3 linked regions of the Drosophila melanogaster genome follow. The protein of the gene in region 2 interacts with the protein of the main gene of each other region in a pairwise test. Each region holds a gene or a part of one and is shown on either strand. Other genes may lie near its edges.

Region 1 (5,011 bases), about 13 Mb from region 2:
GAGAAAGTTGTCTGAATATATATTATATATGTGTATATATTTGTATTTTGCGGTGTACAATTAGCAAATAAATTCGGTCTTGTGAGCTCATGATAATAATAAACACCCATGATAGTCAGTCAGTCACGCAATCAGTTGATTTGCTTACTTTGATTTTAGTTACTAAGCTTATCGCACTGAGTCAACTGTTGTTTATGATCTATTTTTGTGCCTAGCTCTCCCCTTAGAATGGAAAACCTTGAATTTTATGACCCACAGAGTGGAAAATTTGTCCCCAGAGATTGTATTTGTTATCACACGATTGGATGCACTTTTCAGATACTCTGGCATTCTGCAAACTGTAAACTTTCCCTAAATCGAATGCGAAAGAGCTTAGGTGCCACTCGAAATGCCAACTGGTTGCAAGCAACCAAGGTTGCCCGGGAAAAGGGCCCCTCCCCCCGTTTACGTATACTTAATATTATAAATGCTTACGCACGGGCTCAGGCTTTTGCGAGTGTCACAGACTAATTGGCATCCAATGGGATTTACACAATGTAAACAGCTTGTTTGCGAAAACAAAAGATTTAATTACAGTGAATTTTTAACATAACATAAACATAAGACTAGATAATGACAGGTGAAAAGAATACTGCTTAGAAATGTTTTCATAATTGTTTAGTTAGTGCTTCGTTAGTTAAACAAATGTCATTATTAAACTTATAATCCTTAAACTTATATGCAACTTTATTACTTCTTTGTCTGAACAGATTAAAAATATATTACATGCTACACTGTAATCCAAATCGTAGGCCTAGGGCGCCTTTGGCAGCTGTTCTTGTGATCCCATTTTTCTCGAGGCCCCACCGCCATGCGGAACAATGCCAAATGCTGTGGCGCTTTTCATTTGTTTTTGTTTACGGATTGTGCCAACCAGGCCGACTGCCACGCCCCCTGCGCCCACCATACCGCCCCATTTGGTGGGTCGTTTTATATAGCGGCCATATAGTCGAGATCTTTATAACTGCGTCGTAATGAAATTCTCGCCGTGTTTGCCGAGATGTAGACAAACATTTTTTGATGGTGCAATTTGAATTTAGTGTATTGCACCAGCCCAAGGTTATTCAAATATCTAAGAGAATGAAACTAGAAAAACAGCAATTGCAATGCGAGAAGGCAATCTGTTAAGTTTTTTTTTTTTGCTTTTCGGCTTGAAGAAAACTTAGTTCTTGAGAGTTATAAAGACTGCGCACTTTGAAAGGGAATTGGCTGATTATTTAGCTATTTTGAGTGCTTTAAGGCTACTCGAAATATGATTACTTATCTGGAGAGTAATCATAAAAAAATGAAAATTATTACCACAGACCACACTTATCTATGTTCCATAACAATTTATTTGGACCAGCAATCCTATTTTGAAAGCCAAAGAAGGAAGCAAATAAACAGTGCGACATCGATTCAGATGTCTAAGCTTCAAATAAATAAACTATCAATCGAATTCATAATTATTAATTAGCTAATGAATTCGCGACGCAAAAGAAGCTCAGGGCTGTTGTGGCAGACGATTTACGAGGCAGGCCAATAACAATTGGTCGCCAATGTTATTGGATGAGTTGTGTTTTTTATTGGATCGGAAGACAAAGTTCGGAGGTCGAGCTGACTTAAGCCTTATTGGCTTAATACGTGCGGCTTTCTCCATTGACGTCACTGGTGAAATGTGAGCGGTGTGCTGATGAAACTAGTTCAATGTCGCTGGCCCACTATGACGTCACCGTTGGCAGACATCGCTCATCCGCCACGTCGGCCCAGTCGGCCCAGTCGTCCCAGCCGGCCGGCCTTTGGAATGGGCGTAATATATGGGATCCGCTCGAGATTCGGTGTTCCTCACTCCCACTATCAACCAGCAACATCCATGACCCGATATGCCTTCCAGAAACTTCCCTGCGCCACGTGTCGCGTGTCTGGCGTGCGTGTTTGTAAACAACTGCACTGCCATGTCCTTTTTACTATCAAAACAACAGGACACCAGGGCGCAGGCGCTGGAAGGCTATGCACATTCCACACGGAACAGAGGCTGGAAGTCCTGGAAGGAGGAACGAGAACACAGAGCCCAACACTCCAGGGCGTTCAAATGTGTATACTCGATGTCCTGACTTAAATATTACTTATGATAACAAGTTAAGATAAATAAATATAAAGTTAATATATAGCTTTGTCTAAAGAAACTACCTTGACAAAATGACTGCAATAAATGTTTATATTAAATTCATAAACATTAATTCTAGAAAAGAGCACTAGGCTTTGTGTACTTTTTTTTTCCAAATATTTGTGTTTTCTTCTTCTTTTTTTACAAAAGAAATCATTCATTTATTGAAATATTACTAGTTGTTAACTGGGCCTTATATTCCGGGACGCCACTGTCGCGTTGGGGATGCCCTGCTCTTGCGCACTTTTATTGACAATTTCTTTGTTGTCTGCTCCCCGTTGGTGTTGCTTTTTGGCTCAAATTGCCTGGTTACCGCAGTCATTTGGCCAAGTGGCAAAATCAATAGAGGGAGTTGGAGATGCCAGGAAACAGAAGCCAGGAGCCCATTACCTTATTATAATTGGGAGTATTATCAATCGCAGGACGGCACACACATGAAATGAAACGCCGCCTGCCGCAGGAAATGCGTGGAAGCCAGGAGCCTCTTACTGCTTTTTACTCCAGTTGTAGGAACCGTTGTAGAAAAATAAAATCAATATTATCATTTTGGCGTGCATATTGAGGACAGTCATTGCACTTGGTTTCGCAACACTTGGTTTCCGCTTGTATTTAAGGCATTAACTAAGGATTTCGGACCCCGTTTAGCGTTTAGTTTTTGTGCCTTTTGCGTTTGAGTGTCATTTAACGATGAGTTCGCAAACTCTTGAAAACACGCCTATGACACAAAACTTTCAGGGAGATATGGGAAATCTCTGTTTTTCGCTTAACTTCACAATTTATTATAATTTAGTTTGTATTTAATATGTCCATTTATTTCGAGGATGTGCTGCACAGTTGGACGTGAAAAACTCGACTGTGGCTTACGAACTGAATGAGCACAGCATTTCCACTTTCCAGTCCGATTTCCAGTAACCTTCCAACCACTGATTCCCGTTATGCTTTGTTGCTTGAACAAGCCTTCTCCGTGTCCTTAGAAGTTCGACCTGACGTCGTCCTTTGTTGAGCAAGAAAAATATGACTGCCTTCTTTCAACAAAATATTAAAAAGATTATTTACTACCATTTAAACTCTACTTGACCACTTGAGTTCTTTGGGCAAATAATCTACCAATTCACTTTTAATGTATACTTTTTTTTTTAGAATTCTTCGCTTTAATTATAGAAGATTTTTAAAAAATTATTTAAACATAAAAACAACCAATGAGCATAACATGTCATGGAACTGATTTCGAATATAAGGAATTTTACAAACATGACTCGGCGATAATTCCAGCAAGATGTTGTGCTTATGAGAACAATGTCAACGCGGATTTTGAGCCACAGCGCAGTCCGACTTTCATTACTGGCAATGGCAATCCTGGCGAGCGTTGGACAAGCGACCGACCGATCCGAAGGAAGATCAGTACGCAGGTACTCATATGCGGATACCTCGTGGCCCAGGCGGCCGTTCGGCAGCGAGCGAAGGGACTTGGCGCCTTCGGAGCAGCGATACTTCTCCGATCCGGAACTGCTCTTCCAGCGGCTGGACGACATGGAGCAGAAATTGGGAATTCCAGAAAAAATGGCTGCTGCTGGCAAGGTGAAATCGGAACACTATCTGGTTGGTCCCACGAATGTTGCCGCCCAGATGCTCAAAGATAACTTGTACAAATTTCCGATTGATGACGGCGCCATTGGACAGGGAATGCACGATGATTGTCTGGGTAAGGAGGATGTGGATGATCCCTTCGAGTCCCTGGCCAGGATGAACTTCAATGAGCATTTGAATGAGCGTAAGTCCGATCGTGAGCTCAAGAGGGTGCTGGGTGGCTACTTAAACGACCAGCAGCTGGATGGAAAACCAGCTGTGGCAACAGCCAATTTGCTGGCCAAGGTCATTAGCTCCAAGGTCGATCAGCCCAGGAAGTCTGGGCCTTGTCGTGGCACCACGGCTCGATCCCACGGGTTCACCACAAGAAGCCCTACGACTCATCGGACGACCCTTAGTACCACAACGCGCAGTCCCACCACTTTCTGCCTTCCGGAACCCTCATCCGATCCTCCGCTCAAGCCGCTTCCCACATCTCCACCAACACCTCGTCCTCCGCCTTCCGCACCTTCGCGTCCACCAACGACGCGAAAGCCATCTGCTCAAAGGATTAAGCCCAGTAATAAGTGCCCCATATCGACGAAATCTCAAAAGCTAGGAGGTGCCAAGGTGCTGCTGGAAATCATTTTGGCCACCAAGCAGCATGCCCTATCGGTGCTCAAGAATCTCAACTACCTGGAATTGGAACTGCTAAGTCACTCAACGGACGACGATGTATCGGAGAACCACGTTAAAGAGAAAGAACCAACAACAAAGACGTCTGAACGTATCGAAAAACCCGAGCCAAGGCCACCATCCAGGGTATTTTCCTTTGGAATTCGACCAGCGAGCCAAAAAGAGAGCTTGTACGACTTGGCAGTGGCCAAGGAGGAGGAGTTGAAACTGCAGGATCGGGTGTGGGAGGAGCACCAGCAGCAGATGAAGCTAAGGAGGCCAATGAAGCCAAAGAGGTTTGAGGTTGCTCCGGCGGCTGCTGCACGCCTGGAACCTTTTCAGGAGCCTCGAAAGCCACTGAAGTCCATAAATTCCATGGAGCCTTTTACTCCTTTGGAACCAGAAACCTCCGACGACAACAGACGTATCAATCTGGAAGCCTTGAGCGTGGTAGTCAAGCCAATGTCCTCCTTTCCCAGAAAGGATTCTCTTAGCTCGTCGCCGCGAGCACAAATGAATGCTGTTCAATTGGAGGGCACAAGCGATGATGAACTGCATCCAGGCAATACATTTGAATTGAGACCA
Region 2 (4,809 bases):
TGGGACCCAAAAAAATAAACAAAACTTTCGCTGGATTCTTGGTAGTGTGACCAAGCAACGCCAATGAGAAATTCCACTTAAGACAGGTCTTAAACAATTATCTTAAGCTAATTTTAATAATATAATATTAATTATTAAACAAACTTGAACTGATTGTACCAGATTTGTATGAAATAGGTAAATGAAAGTGTTCATACAAACCGTCTGTCTGCTTCTTTATTTATTCGATTTTAAACAAAAATATTTAAACGCTCCAGAGTGATGATAAGGCATTTACCAAAGGAATTAAAAGTTAATCAAAGTATTCCCTCTCATATATAGGTAAGGTACCAAACTTCTAATGTAAACTTTGGTGACGCATCATAAAATTGCCGAAAATTTTTTGTTTTTCCCCAAAATAGTTCCAAAATAGTTCCAATAGTTCCTTTGATTGCCCAGTTTTCTGTTTTCAAAAAGGATTTTCCATTTGTTCTTTGGTATCATTGGAAGTGTATTCCTGTTTAATAGAAATTGGTAAAAGTCTTACAAATAATTCTTAAGCCTAATGCTCAGTATTCAGCCTACACAAATAGGCTAAAAACCAAATTTCCGATTTGATTGAACTATTTGCTGCGGCAGCAACTCTGTTGCGTTGAAAACTGAATGTAATTTGTTCTATAGTAGCACTGTATTAGCCATTTATTGCAGCTAGGACCAGCGCAGTTGGTATCTCAGCTTGCGGAGATGGATTCTCGTTTTGAAGACGACATCCCACAAGGGACTGCTGATGCCGTAACCGAGAGTTTGGTGCGAGAAGTGGTGGTGGTGATGATAGCGCTTCATGTGTACAAAGGCCCATAGCGAAGGGTTCCCATAGTGCAGGTAGTAGTGCATCATATCGTAGCACAGATAGCCGGCCAGAGCTCCAGACAAGATCACTCGCGGATGGGACAGGACAAAGCTGAGCGGGGTGTAGATGACCGCGGCGAGCACTGCGCCGGGAAGGGGCGGAAACACCAGTCGCATCGGATCGAAGGGCACCTTGTGGTGCAGGCCATGGATCATGAAGTGGAAGGTGCATAGCCAACTTCCGCTCTTGTTGCTCAGCTTCACGTGGAACACCCAGCGGTGCAGTGTGTACTCCAGGAAAGACCACAGGAGCACGCCAAATAAAAAGTAACCGGAGAACACAGCCAGCTGCAGAAAGAAGATACTTTTAGAAGATCGTATCCAAGAATGCGAAGATTGCGCGACTACTCACCTGGTTGCTATCCTGCCAGGCGGTGGTGAACTCCTCCACGGCGCATTTCACGATCACTGGTATCCAGAACAGGGGCACCAGCCACCAGGGCGTCTTGGTGCACATCTCCAAGTACCAAGGGTCAAAGAGACGCAGTGGCCTGTCCACCGGCTTGTGAACCCACTCATCGTAGCAATCCGTTATGTTAGCTATCTGCGGAAGCATTGCCTTAGACCAGTCCACTAGGTGCTGGAATTCATGAATTTACAATAGGTTAGTCAATAAATTAATACAGTATGTATTACCATAAATTGGTTTGGTTAATTACCTTTGAAAATTAAATATTTAAAATTAGAAGCTGTGCAGAGTTTTTATTTTATTTTATATTTTTTTATTTATTTTATTTTAACTTTACTATAATTACAGAATAGTAAGAATTTCACTTGATTTCTACTTGCTTTTTTATTTAATATTTACTTAAACACTAGGACATCCCATAAACCGTTAGTTGGCTCGAATGTGGCCAGCCGCGGGTCAGCACCGAACCGATATATAATGTTATCGGGCATCGATGAGCAGGTACAATCACAAGCAGCTGGTTCAAAATTGTCATTTGAACCTGTGCCTTACTTCACACAACGACGCAGTTTCCACTTGTCGTAGTCGAGATCACATTTCTGGAGCCCCAGCCGTCTAGTTATAGTTCGGGAGTAGGTGGAACATGTCGAATACTTCAGTTCGCCCGATTCCAACGTTAAAGGGCATCTTTTCGGTGCCGCGTAAGATTTCTTTTCCAAACAGCCGCTTGGCCATGGCAACCAGTTGGTAATTTGTTTTGGTCTCCGTTCCCACAGGCGTCACACAGTCCCGAAACTTCCTCAAGGAAAACAAGGTGAGCCTGCGCTCGCTGGAAAAGTCCACCAGCCAGAAGTTGGCCGCTAAGGAGCCGACGCGCCCGAAATGGATGCCCCCGCTGCGACGCTCTTCCTCCGTGATGGGAGACTCGAAGGCGGAGAAACCAGCAGCTAAGGGCAAAACTATAAAACAGAACTCGTTGCAAAATGGCCGCAGCACCTCTCGCTCACAGCACCAACTGGCCGTGGCCGTTCCGGCGGAGGGGGAACGCTTCGATGGCCTGGAGGAGCGCAATCCCATCTTATATGACCCGTCGGAGAACTTAGAATCCGAGAATCTCCAAGAGCCTTCGTCGGATACAGACATTGATCGCTGTCAATCGTGTGGCACGAATCGGAGCTCCACCAGCATAGCCATCCAAACTGAGGACATTACCGACGAACTCTATCTAACAAATGCTCTGAAGAAGTATGACTTTTTGCACCAAACTCGAAGGTTTTCACAAAGGTTTATCTTATCCGCAGATGTAACTTTGATGCCAGATCTATACTGGAGGAATCCGGTGCAAAATACGGGGAAAACTACAAACCCATGCAATATGAAAACGAGGAAGATTTGGAACAGTTGCCGCTTTCGGCGCGTTCGAACTCCTCGAAGCAGAGTCGCTTCAACATGTCCGAAATGGAGGCTATGCCCATGACCGAGGCCGAACCTGCAAACTACGGCGCCTCAGACGACGAGGCTCCACTCAGTGCCCGTAGTCGTTTCACAACGGCCTCCAATGTCACCACCATAAGCTCTAAGTCAAAGCGTCGTGAGCATAAACTAGGATGTGAGTTTATCCCTTGTTTACCAATTGTCAGCGACAGTAATGACAAAATTAAATATCTTTGATAATTATTTCATATATAATCTATAATTATTCTCTATTTTAAATATCTTATATTCCCTCCTGATTTGATTTGAACTAGTCATGAATTTGTACTTTTTGACAGCCCGAGATGAGGTGCGCTTGCCGCGTTACCTGGAAAAGCAGAAGCGCGAGAAGGCGGTGGCCAAGCAGCTTGCGGAATCGCTGGATCCCGACTGTCCGCGTGGCCATGTGTTGCTCAGCGATCAGGACCGACTGACGCACCTCACTAATGCTAAGAAACGTGAGTTAATGTTACTACTATAAGTTTGACCCTTGCTAACGAATCTTAACAGGCTACGAACAGCTGGTTAATGAACTGAACCACATGCCCATGACTGCACAGACGTTGAGGGTGCGCAACCGCAAGGCGGAGATCGACAAGGAGCTGACCACCGTGGAGGAGGACATCCGCATATACTCCAAGGCAAAGGTCTTCGTGCTGGCCAGCAAGTCGCGACAGTTGTGAGAACTCATGCTACATAGCTCCCAAAAACATTAAAGCATTCCATCGACTGACTGACCGAGCGAGCTACTGGAATCTTGGATTTGCAAAACACGCGTGTTCCTTTCAACCATGCCTTACGTTAATAATATATTTTTTAGCTGAGATTTGGATCGCAGACCTACCCCGCCCCGATAGCATTGTGACCAACTTAACGTGCGATCCAGTCGACCAGCAACTAGAGTTACAGATTAAAAACCGCTCATCCAACTTACCTCCATACTATCGTCCACCTGGTTATTGTTCTTGTCCTCCGTTTCCCTGGGCCGTTGTCGCAAAGTCCCATCTTCATCGTGATGCAACGTTTCCCTTTGGCTCGACTTTGGTTTCCGAGAGTCCTCTGGATCGATTTTGTACTCCCTCATCAAGTACATGGCCGCATCCGAATGTGGCGGCGCCTTTAGGAAGCGAGCTGTCATGTCCCCGCTGTTGAGACCTTTGAGTGTGTTTATGCCTCCCGGATGCTTGTGCATAAACCTGGACAAATCGTAATACTGCTGGCGATACTTTACTATGAACTTGTCGTTCGACTCCGCTTCCTTTGGTATATCCATGTCGATGGGCATCAATTTGGCAACTGCAGTGCGAAAAACAATCGGATAAGACTTTGCTGTTCCTTTGCGAGCATGATACTCTGCCACTGATTATCTTTGGAATTAATTACTTTGCGTGCCCAGCAGCAACATGATGCCATATTGTATCGGACACGCTCAATTAAATATATAATTCACCTCCTCTTAGAGTTATTTTGTACACAGATCAAATGTATCATCCCCAAAAAACTGAATTAAATAACCCTCATTGGCGCAGCTAAATGAAATATTTCACACAAATATATTTTAAGTAAATCTCCTTAAGAACATATTGTTTAATTAAAAAAAAACAACAGCTATCTATCTGCTGAGATAATTGGTTACGAATTCATAATTTTGACCTTGATGCTTATGGTATTTACACAAATAAAACGACAATGTATTATAAATAATCCTGTTTTTATTAATAGTTTTTGAAGGGATGCAGCATTTCCTACATATTTGATATGCGCACTGTATAGTATTTGCCATTTTCATGATTCATAAAAAAATTTCACAGCCAAACCTACGATAGCGTAATCTATTGAAACCAAAATATAAGTATAGAAAAAGTATCTGCACCTATTATCTGCATTCCAAGGTATCCATTAAAGTCAAAGTTTTGCTTATCAATTAACTTCTATCCGATTTCTAGTGACCCTAAGGATATATTATTTTGACTTCCTTTTAGTTGAAGAAATTTTGGATTGATACCTTCTATTCTGGCGTTGAACTTATAGGATTCCCT
Region 3 (4,607 bases), on a different chromosome or scaffold from region 2:
GACTGTTTATGTTTATCGCCAAATTGAATCCATTGATTTCGCATCATAGTCAATTTTATTCCGGCCATTTGCCCAACGTGTTTCATAACTTTGTTAGGGGTATTTGCATAATTGATTTTACTTCCTTCTCAAACGCTATTTACAATAATTAAACTTGACTGAATTGTCAGTGTGGAAACTTGCAAATTGATTATATTGATATTTATTAATGGGCCAAGACAGCGATGAATTAGGGCAACAAATATTTTATAATGGTCCCATTACATGTCGTTTCAACTCAAATATAAACTTTTAAATGCTTGGTATTGTAGGTAAATGGGAAATTAAATTGACAATTATTGTATCAGTATTTTAAGGGCAATTATAACACCCTTTTGCAATTCATTTTATGAATCCAGAAATAAATATATCTTTTTTATACCACATTCTTTGGCTTCTCACGCGCTGCTCATTTATTATGATGTTTTTCACATATCTGACACTTTTTGCAAATAAAATCAAACAGATAAATTAAATTTGCCACAGACTTTTGGCTGTCGTTTTGATTTTTTTTTACTTTTTTTTCGTGTCCATAAAGTTCGACTTTGATTGCATTCGTGGAGCCATGTCTCACGCCGGAAAATCGTACAAAAAAGGAAAATATATTTATTTGTATTTGAGCGAATACTTTTATTGGCGGTTACCTTTGGCTCGCTGTGTGGTCGTTTAATTGAATAATTATATACACACATACCCACGTATATGCCTATAATTTTTTTGCTACTCGGCTTATATTGATTCGCATAGATTGTAAATCAATTGCCATTACATGTGCATCCGCTGGCTGGAATGCAAATGTAACAAATGGCCAAAACGACGATGCGCCTTGACAAACTCAATAAAGGCCCACTTCCCACAGTTAAGAGTTGTCAAAGCTCGACAAATGGAAAAGTGATATAAAAAAAAACATGCAATGTATAAATAAATAATTGTGCAGTGGCTTGGCGTTAATTGCACTTTAAAAAGTCCCAAACAAGTGCCGAAATGGTAAATGCAATTTATTGCCGTCGGCAATCGGCAGCTAACGAGTGCTTCAAATTGAACACGGATGCACTAATTAGAATTTTTGGTCAAAACAATTAGCAATTTAAGCAGAATTATTTCAATTTAGCGAAAAAATGACCCGAAAAGTTTTATTTAATTTCCGCTAATAGAATTGGCAGCTGATGAATGCGAAATTTATTACTCATGCTCCAACAAAGACGGTGGGCAGTCATTGTTGATTGAGTTGTTGTGGACTAAGTTCATTTTTAATAAAATGCGAAAAGCGAGTTTCGTGTCGTTCATTCTGACTTGCAAGATCTTAAGAACCTCTTGCGCGGATCTACATACTCCTCATCGGCTTTATGGATTTCCTGGCAAAAATTTTAAAAGTGTTAGTCACTTGATTTCCAGTTTTGCGCAACTCATGTGAAATAATTAATATGAGCACACGCCTTGACCAACATTAATTTAATAATTTTTCATTAGTTAAACCATCATCTAAAAATTAGTCAGAGCTTAATGGGTTCCTTTTTTGGGCGCTTCTCTTTAAATGTAATCGTTTAACTTAGTGGGTGCATCGTAACCTTTCTGCTTTTAGTTGTTTAAAACTAATTTTTTTTTGCTGAGCAGGTCAAAGTTACCTAACGAGTCGAGTTTTGCGGTTTTAATTGTACCAAGTAACGCGGTCACCTCGATTATTGTTGTTGTTCTTGCGGCAACGCTCATTGTTGCGGTTTGTGTGTAAATTTTGGAAAGGTTAAGTGCCTGGTTGCAGTCAGCAAATTAAATAATTACAAACGGCTGTTAAAGAGCCAGAGTTATGAGCCCTTCGCAGAAGGACAGCTGATATGCAGAAGTACTCTAAATTTACAACCAGACCTTTTCTTTAAAAACCTACATATATTGCCAATAAATATTTATTTAATTGTTTAGTCAAATAAAGTATTAGATAAAGTAACATCCAAATATCACTTAAAAACCAAAAAAAAAATCACTTAAAGTGTAGTTCTTAAACATGGTTTCTCTGTGCTTTAACCTTAAGTCATTTGCTACATCTTTACACCGCCTCGACAAAAGTCGTCCGAAACTGAAAAGTTCAAAAAACGCGAGACAAAAGTCGCGGCAACAAAGGCAGCAGCAAAAGCAGAAGCATTCATTTGGAGATTCAACTTCGCCTGAGTTTGCATTTTAAAGCCGTTGCTGTTGACCTTGGGCTGCATAAATCGAATTGGAGCAGGTCGTTGACGAAGCTGGTGTTTTTACTGAATGGTTTTTTCTTTTGGGAATGCGAAGCCCTGCATTATCTGGGCATCCTTGAGCTGGTTGAGTGGGAAATCCCCTCAGCATCCACAGCAGCCCTTGGCATTTTAATGTGAAGGAGGCCAATGGCCTGCGGTTACCTGTGCTCCTTGAAGTTCTTAAATGGACCGCAGCTGCTTTTATTCCGGCGAGAAACCACGAATTGCAGGAACTGTGGCAACAGTCTGTTATTGATTTTCCTCGTAATTTGTATTTTCCCCCTTTATTTTTGTTGTTTTGTTATTTTTTGCTGACTAACTTTTGGCTTTGCGGCTGGCAAAAGTCAACAGAAACGTAAAGAACACGTTTGCTTTTAGTTAACCTGTTTTGGCAATGCCCAAAGATTGCGATTGAGCAAAGATTGAGCGGACACAGATACAGATACACCGAAACGTACACAGATACTACTGCCGACTAGACGAAGCGTGGTTGTTGTTTTCAATTTTTGTTTTACTTGCACAATTAGCCAACTGAAAAATTACCACACTGAGATGGATTTGAAAGCTGCACTGCACAATAATCGCCGCTAAAATTGGCTCATTCACAACGCTTGCAAGAAACTACGATCTGCAAAGTGCTCTGGTTTATGTCAACGCGAAAAATCCGCGCGCAAAGCCACACTAAAAGTATCTTAACACTCAGCTCAGGTTCTCGGCTTTGTTTGCTCAAGCGTTTCCGCGTTTTGCTTCTCGACTCGCCGACGACGTGAATTCAACTGATCAACTCAACAAAACCGACTTCGTAGCGCTGACAGATCGCCCAATTCGAAAATAGCATCGGCCTTATCGACAGCGGCGTCGGCAGCGACGTCTCTTGTTTATAGCCGCGTTTATGAAGCCGTCTAAACGACGCGTCTAAAAGATCAAAAATAGTAAGTGGAGTGCTTGGACTTCTGTGGCCGAAACTCTACCCACTTGACTAGCACAGGTGGGAACAGATCTGGGTCACGGTGGAAGTCTTTGCTAAGCTAAGCTTACAGCAGATCATTTTGGGAATTGAGCTTTGATCGTTCAATGCACAATGCGTCGTGGTTCATGTCCTTGCTATATTATAAATAAAAATTATATATTTTAGCTTTCTCTTTTTGATATACAAAAAATCAACAATTCTTTTTTAAAAAAATATTTATTTTGTATTTAGTAAGTTTAATAACTTAAATAACAATTTCACTTGTGCAACTAGCCTGCTGAAAGGACTTGCCCATACGAAAACTTAATAAAAGATTATCATGTATGGTGCATTGTGCCGTAACAAAAACACACAAGGCCCGAGCGATAATAGCAGCAACAATGCCGTCGGCCAAATGCGACCTCCGACCTCAGAGTTGGCTTATGTTCGTTGGGCACGCAAATCGGTTATTAGCTATAATGCAAACGTATTTTAGACACACACATTTATATCGCTTATTTTCGATGGTGCATTATTGCGGTTGTCTGATTGAAACGCCAGATCCCACACGCGGCCTTTTTGTTCGGGCCTGGACTCAAAGATAAGCGGCCCTCGGGACCTAAATAACTGGAACAACAAAAAATAAACGGACAAACGGACGGCAAACAAACTGTCTATTAGTTATTGTTGTTTGATTTGCAAAGCGTTTGTCATTTGTTAAATAAATTGATGGCCATTGCGGACCACTCGGCAAATAGCAAGTAAATACGAAAAGGGACACAAGTGGCTGAAATAACCGGAAAAGCTAATATTGAGCTTATGATTTAAGGCAGGCCAGAAAATGGCACTGGAATCCACAGCCCAGCCACCATTGTTCACAGTTTCGATGAAACTTTAAACTGGGGGGACTGTCAGAAGGCCTCAAAAGCAGCGGCAGTTAAGCATGACAAAACGCCGGGGCATCTCGGGAGGACACCCCTCTATTATCCTTCCAAAATCATCAGCTGTCAGTGCAGTGAGTTGAGACTTCAGCCACCAAAAAACGAGTCTGCAGTGTCACTGAGCGAGAAAGGAGCCCGCCAGAGAGCACAAGAAACTGAAATGACATTGACATTTTGAATAATGACGCAACACTATTTAAGTGGGAACTGCACGTCTAAAAATTGAATGAAGCCGAAAAATTATAATTAAATGCTTACAAAAATTTTTGGTAATGTAGAAGATTCTTTTCGACAACCCAAAATTGATATTCTTTAATTTGTAAAAGTATTGCAGGACATATTACATTTAAGTTAAATAATCAGTTAATTTTTAGACGTGTATTGACAGCTTTCCCAGGGCACAGGCACCCAACGGAGTTTGGAATTGGACTTGCCCATGGGGAGACGCTCGCCGGA

What was found.
Region 1: the proteins of CG11125 (region 2) and CG13868 interact in a two-hybrid assay, tested with the Drosophila melanogaster proteins (one large-scale study listed by BioGRID).
Region 3: the proteins of CG11125 (region 2) and osy interact in a two-hybrid assay, tested with the Drosophila melanogaster proteins (one large-scale study listed by BioGRID).

Annotation. Positions count from the first base shown.
Region 1 is NT_033778.4:20,313,876-20,318,886, forward strand, and holds the start of CG13868 (uncharacterized protein), read right to left. Parts: upstream 3,043-5,011; 5' UTR 2,576-3,042; intron 2,121-2,575; exon of another isoform or gene 1,420-2,120; intron 1-1,419. Other genes in the region: CG13871 (uncharacterized protein), read left to right, coding at 3,533-5,011.
Region 2 is NT_033778.4:7,445,714-7,450,522, forward strand, and holds CG11125 (uncharacterized protein), read left to right. Parts: upstream 1-1,759; 5' UTR 1,760-1,940; coding exon 1,941-1,998; intron 1,999-2,073; coding exon 2,074-2,542; intron 2,543-2,598; coding exon 2,599-2,906; intron 2,907-3,069; coding exon 3,070-3,228; intron 3,229-3,280; coding exon 3,281-3,453; 3' UTR 3,454-3,704; coding exon of another isoform or gene 3,705-4,055; 3' UTR 4,056-4,282; downstream 4,283-4,809. Other genes in the region: Fa2h (fatty acid 2-hydroxylase), read right to left, coding at 688-1,176, 1,241-1,468, 3,705-4,055.
Region 3 is NT_033777.3:26,316,790-26,321,396, reverse strand, and holds the start of osy (oskyddad), read right to left. Parts: upstream 3,043-4,607; 5' UTR 2,424-3,042; intron 1-2,423.